Linked DNA regions of Callithrix jacchus. The protein of the gene in region 1 binds, or shares a complex with, the protein of each later gene. Links are inferred from orthologs where the notes say so. Each region holds a gene or a part of one and is shown in the gene's direction. Other genes may lie near its edges. The genes, in order: SMARCC2, ARID2 and SMARCD3.

Region 1 (3,644 bases):
CTGGCAATTTGAATGGATGGCTTGGAGTAGGAGGCAGAGGACTAAGATTACCATTCAGTATCTGGGCTCCTCTTTCAATCTTGAATCCTCCTACCTCCTTAAGTTCCTGTTACCAAGTCCCTTGCTACAACAGCAGAGCACTTTAGTTAGGGCTTATGTACAGTATTTTTTTGTGTCCCTCTTTAGCTTATCTCTCTCCCTTCTCTGCCTCTATCCCCAGAGGAATGGGTACGACCAGTCATGAAGAGGGATAAGCAGGTTCTTCTGCACTGGGGCTACTATCCTGACAGGTGAGGATGGGTTCCTGGAGCAGGTTTAAGTATAAGAGCCAGACCCAGAAGCCCTAGAATATCTAGCAAAGCAAGAAGCCACTCTTTCAGAGTTATTTTTAGGTCACTTAATTGGTTCTCCTCTCCCCTATTAAGTGAACCTCTGTCTTGGGGGAGGTTTGGACTTATTGGACAAGGCTTAGCCTAAAAGGATTGAGGCTTTTTGTATGAAATGATTATCCCAGTGTAAATCTTAGAAATAGTCTAAATGTCTAACAGTAGGAAAATGTTTCAGTAAATTTGTATATCTACTCAGTGGGCTATTATGCAACCTTTAAAGTGATATGAAATAACATGGATAATTTATAGGTGAATGTTATTATTCATTGCAAAAAGTAGCATGTAGGCCTGGCGTGGTGTCTCACACCTGTAGTCCCAGCATGTTGAGAGGCCGAGGCAGGCAGATCACCTGAAGTCAGGAGTTCAAGACCAGGCTGGGCAACATGGTGAAACCCCATCTGTACTGAAAATACAGCAACACCAAAAAAAAAACAATTAGGCAGGTGTGATGGCGCGTCCCTGTAGCTCCAGCTACTTGGGAGGCTGAGGCAGGAGAATCACTTCAATCAGTTGAACCTGAGCAGGGGAGGTTGCAGTGAGCTGAGATCTCGCCACTGCACTCCAGCCTGGGTGACAGAGCAAGACTCTGTCTCAACAAAACAAAACAAAACATGTAGGCTGGGTGCCATGGCTCATCCCTCTAATATGTAGGATGGGTGCCGTGGCTCACGTCTATAATCCCAGCACTTGGGGAGGCTGCGGCAGGCAGGTTGTTTAAATCCAGGAGTTTGACACCAATCTGGGCAAAATTCTTGTGTTTCCAAAAAAAAAAATACAGAAATTAGCTGGGTGTGGTGGCATGCACTTGTAGTCCTAACTTTTTGGGGGGGCTGAGGCTGGAAGATTGCTTGAGCCCAGGAAGTTGAGTCTGCGTTGAGCCATGATTGCACCACTGCACTTCAGCCTGGGTAACAGAGCAAGACCCTGTCTCAAAAAAAAAAAAAAAAAAAGTAGCATGTAAAATATCATCAATGTGATTATAACTATGTAAAAACAAAATTGTGGACCAGGCACAGTAGCTCACTCTGTAATCCTAGCAGTTTGGGAGGGCAAGGCAGGGGGATCACTAAAGGCCAGAAGTTCAAGACCAGCCTAGACAACAAAGTGAGACCCTGTCTCAACAAAAACAAAAACTCCGGCCCAGCGTGGTGGCTCATGCCTGTAATCCCAGCAGTTTGGGAGGCTGAGGCGGGTGGAAGAGTTTGAGACTAGCCAGGCCAAGATGGTGAAACCCCTTCTCTTCTAAAAATACAGAAATTAGTTGGGCACAGTGGTGGGTACCTGTAATCCCAGCTACTCAGGAGGCTGAGGCAGGAGAATTGCTTGAAGACAGGAGGCAGGGGTTGCAGTGATCTGAGATCACCCCATTGCACTCCAGCCTGGGCAACAGAGTGACAGCGAGACTCCATCTCAAAAAAAAAAAAAAAAAAATTACTGTGAAAAATATATATACAAGTGTCAAGAGTAGTTATGTAAGGGCGATTCTTTTCATTCTCTATTTTTGAAGTGTTTTGTAATGGGCTTTTATTACTTTATATGAATAGAATACCAAAAAAATAAGCCAACAACCCAATACTTTCTGCAAATTAAAAGGGTAAAAGATCTGCACTTTACTTTTCCACAACTCCATCTCATTGATTCTACTGTATGCCCAATTTCCCACGGCAGTTATGACACATGGATCCCAGCGAGTGAAATTGAAGCATCTGTGGAAGATGCTCCAACTCCTGAGAAACCTAGGAAGGTGAGTTTTTCTTGTACCCCCGCTTCCCAAAAAAGAATGCCAGGACCAGTCTACTCTTTGGAAGTGAAACAGAGGCTCCTGTGTCCTTGGACTTTTTCTGTTAAGGTTCCGCAGACAGAGCTTCTCTGCGGCATGATCTGCCTTCGTACTTTAGGTTCATGCAAAGTGGATCCTGGACACTGACACCTTCAATGAATGGATGAATGAGGAAGACTATGAAGTAAATGATGACAAAAACCCTGTCTCCCGCCGAAAGAAGATTTCAGCCAAGACATTGACAGATGAGGTGACAAACCCTGTTCTTTTTTCCAGGCGCCCTTAGCATAAGTCTCAGAAAAAGTCTTCACTGGGGATTGTATGCTGACATTTGTCCTGATTCTCCATCCTATAGGTGAACAGCCCAGATTCAGATCGACGGGACAAGAAGGGGGGAAACTATAAGAAGAGGAAGCGCTCCCCCTCTCCTTCACCAACCCCAGAAGCAAAGAAGAAAAATGCTAAGAAAGGGTGTGCCAGCCCCTAGCCTGCCCCTGAGTTCACCATTCTCTCCGTATCATGTTGAAGGAAGGAAAGCCAAATCCCTTCCTTTAACCACCTGGCCCTGACCTGGGTGTGCCTTATAATACTACAGGTGTCCTGAGAGGGAAGATGAGGAGATTTTTAGCTGCATAGTTGTTAGTTCTGGTCCTGGCCCCACTCATAAACTTAAAGAGAGCTTTATCAAATGAAAAGCCTTTGCCATTTCCCATTACTCTGTAATTACTGGTTTCTGTTTGTACTCAACTCTACCCTTGGGATTCTCTGTCACTTCCCTTCCCTTGAACTTCAACTGCCAGGGACTCTTGTCCAAGGATGACTGGGTTCTCTTTCACTGTCTTTCCTTCCCAGTCCCTCAACACCTTACACTAAGTCAAAGCGTGGTCACAGAGAAGAGGAGCAAGAAGACCTGACAAAGGACATGGACGAGCCCTCACCAGTCCCCAATGTAGAAGAGGTGACACTTCCCAAAACAGGTACAGGACAGGCTGAGCTCCTGGGATCCAGCCCCACTCCCTGTCCTGACTCTCCTTTGCTAAACCCTGAGTGAGCTGATTTCTCAGGTCTGCCTCACAGTCTACAGGATCTTTTCCTTAAATTTAGTTGGTTATTAGAATTATATTTGTTACCATGGAAAATCCTCTAAGTTTATATCCATATCTGGGTTGTGGACTGTGCTTTGTGCCTGGTAGTAGTTGTCTCCAAACTCCGATTATGTGCTTTCGATAGTAAAATACATTTGAGCATGGCCAGGCATGGTGGCTTACACCTGTAATCCCAGCACTTTGGGAGGCCGAGGTGGGTGGATCACCTGAGGTCAGGAGTTCAAGACCAGCCTGGCCAACATAGTAAAACCCCATCTCTACTAAAAATACAAAAATTAGCCAGGCATGATGGTGGATGCCTATAATCCCAGCTACTTAGGAGGCTGAGGTAGGAGAATTGCTTGATCCCAGGAGGTCGAGGTTGCAGTG
Region 2 (3,744 bases), about 34 Mb from region 1:
CACACCACTTTTGTTGGGCGGGCGGGGACTCCGAGGCGGCCCTTCCGACAGCCGGGCCAGGGACGCGAACATCGCCTCCACCCCTAACCCTGGAACAACCGGTAGTGGCCGTTCCCCCGCGCCGCCCCCCTTTCCGCCGGCTTTGTGTGCGTGTGAAATGTGCGGCACATTGCAGACGAACCCTAAGCTCGGCGAGCCGAGTCTATTGTTCCCCGCGAGGAGCTGCCGGGGCGGTGTGGAGCCAGGCGCAGTGCCGCGGCCGGCCTTTGGGGGTCGCTGTGCGGCACTAGCTGCCCGGCCGTGGCGGCGGCGCTGGCGGCGGCAGAGACCGAGGCTGACGAGGAGGGAAGCAGGCGGGCGGCGGGCGGCGCGCAGCGGCTCAGCTGCCGCCGGTGCTTCTGCCCGGGGACGCCCCGGCCTCAGCGGCCGAGGCCGCGCGTGAATGTGTGCGAGGGCTCCGCGGAGCCTGGGCCGAAATACACGCTGTCACCCCGCTTTCTACAAACCACACAGACCTCCCCCTCCCCACCCCCAGCCCCGCCTGCCCCAGGCCGGCCGCTGTCGCCGCCGCCGCCGAAACTCTAGGGCCTCCGGCCGCCCCGACCCCTCACCGTTGGCTCGCCTTGCCCCTCGCCCGCTCGCGCGCCCCCGGCAGCAGCACCATGTTGAATCGCGTACCCGGGCCAAGCCACCTCAGCCGGCGGCGCTGAGAGGCGGGCGAGAGCCGGGCCGCGGGGAGGGAGGGAGGGAAGGAAGGGGTGGGGGCCGCGCTCGCCCCGCGGCTTCGCGCGGATCCGGCAGTCGCCTGCCCCTCTAGTTTCGCTCCGATTTCTTTAAACTTTTTTAGAAATTCCCCTCCCTCGTTCCCTCCTCTCCCCCTGGCCTCCTGCTCCCTCCTTCCCCTCCTCCTCCTCCTCCTCCCCCTCCCGCCCTCCCTCCCTGCGCCGCCGCCGCCGCCGCCGCCGCCGCCGCCGCCGCCGCCACCGCCGGCCCGTGACTGAGCCCCGCCGCCGCCGGCCGAGGAATGGGCTCCGGGCTCTGGTAGGAAGCGCTGGGAGCGGGGGGCGCTTTTAAAACACCGATCTGGGTTTTTAAAAAACCTCCTTTGAAAAAATAATGGCAAACTCGACGGGGAAGGCGCCTCCGGACGAGCGGAGAAAGGGACTCGCTTTCCTGGACGAGCTGCGGCAGTTCCACCACAGCAGAGGGTGAGAGCAGAACCGGGGGGGCAACGCCGGGGCGAGCCGGGGCGAACGGGGCTCTCCCGCCCGGGCCGGGCGCGGGGTCCCGGCTGACAAGTGCGGGTCTTTCTCTCTCCCGCAGGTCGCCTTTTAAAAAAATCCCTGCGGTGGGTGGGAAGGAGCTGGATCTTCACGGTCTCTACACCAGAGTCACTACTTTAGGCGGATTCGCGAAGGTGAGTGGAAGTTTTAATTTGTATTTCCCTCTCACTGGCCTCCTCCAAAAAGTCTCCTTTGACCCCAGAGTGGGCGCTTGGGGCTGGGGGGGTGGCCCGCGGGGGCAAAAGGCGTTCTTTTCGCTCCCAGCCGGTGGCACGGAGGCGGACGGCGGCGGGGCTGTTTTTGGCCTGGTGGCTCGCGTGCGCGCGGCGGGCGCGGGGCTCCCGCGGGCTGGCGGCCCGGCGCCGGCTAGCGCCCTGCCCGGTGCCCAGTTGGGCCGGCGGGGTCTGAGCGCCGCGGCGGAGAGTGCGGGCGTGCGGGGCGCCAGCCGGAGCCCCGCGCCCGCACCGCCCGCTCGCTTGTTCGCTCGCTCGCTCGTCAGCTCTGCCGCCGCTGCCGCTCTAGCACAGGCTGAGACACAGAGACACACAGACTCAGAGCAGTTTTCGTGCAACTCAAAATTAGCGCGGGCAGGTTTAACATCGATAATCGGCTGCGAAATGATCCTGGCAGCCGGGGGCACAGCCTCGGCCCCGTCGCCCTCGGTTTATACAGCTAACAAAAGAAACCAGGACCTGTCTCCAAATAGCCATCTTAGGCTTCAAGGCTAGGCAGAAGCTGTAGGCCTCAAAGAAGGGCCTATGGAGATGGATAGATCTGGGAGAGGGATCGGAATCGGCCCCGGCCCCGGCCCCCCCAGAACCCGCGGACGTCGCTGTCCGGAACTGTATTGATCCTTTTGAACTTTTTTTTTTTTTTTTTTTAAGTGTAAACGGACCGCGTTGAGATTTAAAAGGGGGCGACAGAGGGACTTGCGATTGGTTATTGTCCCGGCTTCAAAAACAAAACAAACCCACCAATCCCCCCCAAACAAAACAAGTGGTATTAAATACAGGGCTGTCTGGTGAAAACAGTGATTCAAGACGCCCTTGCTTGCTTAGTAACTCTTACCTTACCGATCGATCAGAAACAACCATTGATGCCTTAGGTATCTACAGATCTCTGTAGAATGGGTATTTATTTCAGTTAGGTAAAGGTTTTTTTAGATTGTTCACTTTCAGACAAGTGTGCCTGTGTTTTACCAGGTCTCTGAGAAGAATCAGTGGGGAGAAATTGTTGAAGAGTTCAACTTTCCCAGAAGTTGTTCTAACGCTGCCTTTGCTTTAAAACAGTATTACTTGCGGTGAGTAGTAGTGACTTTTCCATAGTATTTGGAAATAAGGGACTTATGGAGAGATTTGTTTTTGGCAAAAACAAAAGCAAACCTTGCACACCAAACAGTTCTAAGCTCTTGTTCATTTTAGACTAAGACACATTTAATATAAATAAAGTGAGATTGTAGGAAGGTGCAAGTTTTTCTTACCAATTTTAGGATCGTTTACGTTTTTCATACAAAATCATTACAGGTGACACCCCACCCCCCATCTTGGTAAACATTCTTTTGTGACATTGTTATTGATCGCTTGATATCCACTGAATGGAAGAAAGGTGATGCTTAGTAAAAGAGTTAAGATAGTTAATGAAACTGTAATCTTTGGGAAAATTTTTTTTTCTTTGTTTTGGAAACTTCTTTGGTTTAAAAAATTCTGACTTTCAGATTTTATTTTTTAAATGAAACTTCTTGTTTGGAACAGTGACATTGAATAGGTTTTTCAGTAGAATATGAATGCATGGCATAACATGTTGGTGCCTTAGGTGACCAGGATTGTTTTGAGAATTACTTTTTGTTGAATTTCCAGTGACTTAAAAACGTTCAAAATGATTATTATATCTCTAGGAAAATGGGGATGCTATGAAGTGGGATACTATACTTTGGATTTTCTTTCATTCTCCCTCTTTCTTTTTTTTGACTGCTTATTTGACAAAGTTCTTATTCTGTTGGTATGCGATACAGTTTAGATGATATATTTTGTGATTTAGCGTTATTTTTTTGCTTCTAGTTTTTCTTCTAGGAATCCTTTCATATAATTTATCATGAGGCTGTGCATTATTTTTAATGTTTACTTTAGAGGATTCTAAGTTAGTTGGTATTATTTAAAACTAAAATGATATTTTTTGTATTTATTGCTTTTTATAGTGATAATAGAGGCCTTTTGTAATGTGGCTTCTGCATAATTTGAGTTTTGCATTTATTACTGTTTCAGATGCATTCAGTTATCATGTGTTACATTCAACATTCTGAAACAGGAAATGCAATAATTGCACAGGTGTACTTTCTATTGGCTATCTTAGATTGACTTCAGGCTTGAAGCTGGAGTTCACAGAACTTTGTGGAGTAGTTATTGTGTAGTTATTGAGTTACACAGGAAGTCTAGAAAATATTAAATATGGTTCGTTGTCATCT
Region 3 (3,744 bases), on another chromosome or scaffold:
CCCTCTCCTGGATTCTCGCAGTGAGCCCACGGCTCCATGTCCCAAAGCCCACAGGCTCCTCCCCCAGAAGGAGGAAAGAGGGGCGTGGCCTTTGGGGGACTCGGGAGGGCCAGGGCTCCCAGCCTGGGGATGTCAGGATTTGCCCCTCCTCCTTCTGGTCCCTCCTCCACTCCAGGGACTGCCAGCTCCTTCCACACGCCCCTTCTGGGGCTCCCTCGCCATCCCACCCCACACCACAGCTTCAAGACTCCTCTCTCTGGGGTATTGAGGCAGGCCCACCATACCCAGCCCAGCTGCCCCAACTCTTCTGGGTCCACCCCCATCCCAAGGAAACCAAGCCGGGCTTCCCTCGTTCCCTCCACGCACCCACCCCAGCACCCCCCTGGCGCCGCGCCATTCCCCACATTCGTTCTCTTCCTGTTCTCATGAGCACAATCCCTGTCCTTCTTTCCGAAATACTTCCCCTGTTGCCCTCACTTTCTCACAGAGCGACAAACAAAGACTCACATACCCAGAAATAGCCTCGCACAGAGCTGAAAGGCACAGGCCACGTCCTGCCACACACGCAGGCGCGCGCGCACGGAGGCTGTCGTGGAGGGAAGCACACAGACAGGGCGTCTGTCTGCATGCACAGAGCAGCCACGCCACAAAAGGGCGCGGACACACACTGCGTGCGAGACAAGGGCACACACAGCCGTGGACGCAGGGCCACGCCGCCGCCCGGGCACACCCACCGCCGCCGGCCCAGGGCAGGCGCGAGGCCTCGCTGCCGGGCTCCCCGGCTCCTGCTAGCCCGTGTTTCCCGGCTCGGCCTGCCAGGTCTCTGGGGAAAGGGCCTCAGAAATGCAGCAGGAGCCGCTGGGGGGAAAGTTGGAACTGACTGTTCCCGGCCTGGCGCGGCCGGCGAATTCCCTGACGGAGAAACTATTTGTGGCGAGAGCCGGTGGCCGGCGACCCCCCGCCGCCTCCCCTGGCGTCCCCTCCCCGCGCCGCCTCCCGCGGCCCTCGGCGGCCTCGGGCTGCAGCGCCGCTGCCCAGCGCCCGCCGCCGGGCTGGTCGGCGCGCCTCGCCGCTTATCTGCGCTGTTTGGACAGCGGGCTTGGAAAGGCAGGCGGCCCCGTCCCCGCCGAGTCAACAGGCAGACCCCGGGCCGCCGGACTATTTCTGGCTTATCAGTGCAGGAATGCGGCAGCCGCGGCGGCGGCGGCGGGCGGGCGGCGGCGGCGTGGGCCGTGGGCCGTCAGGGCAGCCCTGAAGGGGCCCCCTCCCCACTCCGCTCGAGTAGAAGTGTGAGAGAGCCCAGCAGGACTCAGAGGGGAGAGTTGGAGGAAAAAAAAAGGCAGAAAAGGGAAAGAAAGAGGAAGAGAGAGAGAGAGTGAGAGGAGCCGCTGAGCCCACCCCGATGGCCGCGGACGAAGTTGCCGGAGGGGCGCGCAAAGCCACGAAAAGCAAACTTTTTGAGTTTCTGGTCCATGGGGTGGTGAGTGGGGGAAAGTTAGCGGGGGAGGGCGAGTGAGCTGGCTCGGGCTGAATGGAGGGCTGATCGGGAGGGGCCGGGAGGGCGCTCCCGCTCTCCCACCCCTCTAGCGGGGGGCGCCACGGCCCACGGCCCGGCCCCGGGACCGTGCCGGCGCCCTGGCACCTGAACACGTCGCCAGGCGGCCGGCCGGGTCTGGCGCGAGGCGGGGAAGGGAGGCGTTTACATGGCTCTTGTCAGGGGTGGGGGTGGGACTTGGGGACTCTCCCCCCCCAAGTGGGGGGTCCTCGCTGTAGTGGACAGGTTGACTTCCGTTCTTTTCCTTGTGGGCCCAGGTGTTGCCCCTGCCCTCGGGGAGGGGGTGGGGGATGGGGATATGGCAGAGTCTGGGCTGGGCTGTCTCTTCATCCGTTGGGACAGTGTCACTGCTTGTGTCTCCAGAGCAAGGAGCAGGTGACCCTGGAGGCACTGTCGCGGGAAGCTCGCAGGCTGAGCGACTTCTGCATCCCAGCGGGAGGGCTCTGGAGCTTCTGCCTCGGGGTGGGGGAGAGGCCTGCTCTAGGGACTTACCCCAAGTTACGGACTCTGAGGGTCCCCTTGGCGGCTCAGCCACCAGAAGCTGATGTCCTAAACTCCTGGAAGGTGTGAAGGAAGGGCTGGAATTGGGGACGTGAGGCCTAGAGACTGAAGGGTTAGGGGAGTACTGTCCTGCCACAGGCAGGCTGCAAAGGCACGTGGGAGCCCAGGAGGCTGCAGCTGAGTCAGTAGGCCCCACTGGGAGGGGTATGGAGGGGTGTGGAATGGGAGAGGCAGGGGCTGCGGCTCTTGGGATGGATGAGGGGGTGGAGGCCCTATGTAGAGGAAGCAGTTGGGTTTACTATGGCCAAATTTGGTTGTGACCTCAAGGAAGGCACCTTCTCAGTAAGGCCAGAGTCCCTAGGATTTTGGCCTTTCGTGGGGGTGGAGCTGGTGGCTGGGACAGCTCTCGGGGGCTCTGGAAGCCTCCCTCTCAAGGCCTCTTCAGCACATGAGCCAGTGTCCCTGGCCTTGATAACTGGGGAGAGCAGCTGACAGGGAGAGGGGCCTCCAGCCCCAGGGACCCCTGGGTGTAACTTCCCAAGGTGTCCATGTCAGCCAGCTGCGTTACCAGTCCTAACCTGGCTGCTGGTGGGAGCCTCTTTAAAATGGCCCATCTAGTGGGGAGAGAGGCTGTACACGTGAACTTTTTTTTCATCTGGTCAACTTAGAGCTTCAGTTCTTGGGTGGCTGTGAGCCCCAGTGCCCCACCTATGCTGGCGGCCCGGTCTGGCTCCATTCTGGGCTGCTACCCTGAAGGCGTGAGTGACAGGGTCAGGTGGGGTAAGGGAAGCAGACACATGGACAGGCAGGTTTCACTGCAGGAGAGACAGGCAGAGACAGCTGCTGACGGAGGTGGGAGGACATTAGGGCTAGACACAGAGCCTGGAGGGCCAGGAGGGAGGTGGCAGTTGGAAGGGAAACAGCAAGCTGGGGGGCGGTGGGCCCTCTTCGCACCTGGGGGTGAGGTGGGTGGTGTGTCGGTGTTAACAGGCTCAGGGTCTGCATCCCCTGCTCCCTTATCTATTTCCTGTTCCCGAGGTCCCCGTCCCCATCCCACCCCACTCGTTCTGTTTCACAGCCCCGAAAAACTCTCTATGGCCCTCCCCATCTCCCTTCTGGAGTCTGGACAAGTGGGGTTTGGAACACTTCACTGGATGCATTTGCATCTCATTTACACCCCATCTGACCACCCAGGGGTAGTGGCAAGGGAGGAGGAGCTGCCTCCTCTCAGTCTCCACAGCCCCCTCTGAACCCTGACTCCTGACCTGGCTGGGGTGGGGGTAGGAAGAGGAGGAGGGGGCTGCTGACCTGGGCAGACAGGAAGGGAAATGTGAATGGAAATGTCACTGCCCTGACCTACCCCAGGGCCCCTGGGCAGCCCACCTCTAACTCAGCTTCCGTCCTCCCAATCGGAATCCTGGCGGGGTCTGGGACACCCCAGCAGGTTGCCCTTGCCTGCCTCCAGCCCTCACTCTGGGAGCAAATATGGGGGCAGCTTCATCAGCGAAGATCCCGGGTGTGGAGACTTGGAGCCAGCCGAGGAGAGTGGGGTTTGGGACCCAAGGGTCAAAAGCAGGGAAATAGGGAGCAGAGTGGCTGAGATGAGCTGGTGAGTGCCAGGCAGAACCGCCCAAGAAGTGGAGCCTGAGGAGGAGGTGCAGGAGGAGGAACAGAAGTTGGGGCAGGGA

Evidence for each region.
Region 2: SMARCC2 (region 1) and ARID2 share a complex: the UniProt entries of both Homo sapiens proteins name them as parts of the SWI/SNF-B (PBAF) chromatin remodeling complex. The link is inferred for Callithrix jacchus from reciprocal best matches to the Homo sapiens genes SMARCC2 and ARID2.
Region 3: SMARCC2 (region 1) and SMARCD3 share a complex: the UniProt entries of both Homo sapiens proteins name them as parts of the BAF complex. The link is inferred for Callithrix jacchus from reciprocal best matches to the Homo sapiens genes SMARCC2 and SMARCD3.

What each region holds. Positions count from the first base shown.
Region 1 is NC_133510.1:63,481,780-63,485,423, forward strand, and holds part of SMARCC2 (SWI/SNF complex subunit SMARCC2), read left to right. Parts: intron 1-220; coding exon 221-290; intron 291-2,057; coding exon 2,058-2,133; intron 2,134-2,287; coding exon 2,288-2,419; intron 2,420-2,524; coding exon 2,525-2,640; intron 2,641-3,021; coding exon 3,022-3,146; intron 3,147-3,644. UniProt on the Homo sapiens protein: Involved in transcriptional activation and repression of select genes by chromatin remodeling (alteration of DNA-nucleosome topology).
Region 2 is NC_133510.1:29,645,269-29,649,012, reverse strand, and holds the start of ARID2 (AT-rich interactive domain-containing protein 2), read left to right. Parts: upstream 1-988; 5' UTR 989-1,116; coding exon 1,117-1,208; intron 1,209-1,323; coding exon 1,324-1,417; intron 1,418-1,585; exon of another isoform or gene 1,586-2,388; intron 2,389-2,485; coding exon 2,486-2,583; intron 2,584-3,744. UniProt on the Homo sapiens protein: Involved in transcriptional activation and repression of select genes by chromatin remodeling (alteration of DNA-nucleosome topology). Required for the stability of the SWI/SNF chromatin remodeling complex SWI/SNF-B (PBAF).
Region 3 is NC_133512.1:96,964,460-96,968,203, forward strand, and holds the start of SMARCD3 (SWI/SNF-related matrix-associated actin-dependent regulator of chromatin subfamily D member 3), read left to right. Parts: upstream 1-991; 5' UTR 992-1,402; coding exon 1,403-1,480; intron 1,481-3,744. Other genes in the region: uncharacterized protein LOC144578411, read right to left, coding at 512-628. UniProt on the Homo sapiens protein: Involved in transcriptional activation and repression of select genes by chromatin remodeling (alteration of DNA-nucleosome topology).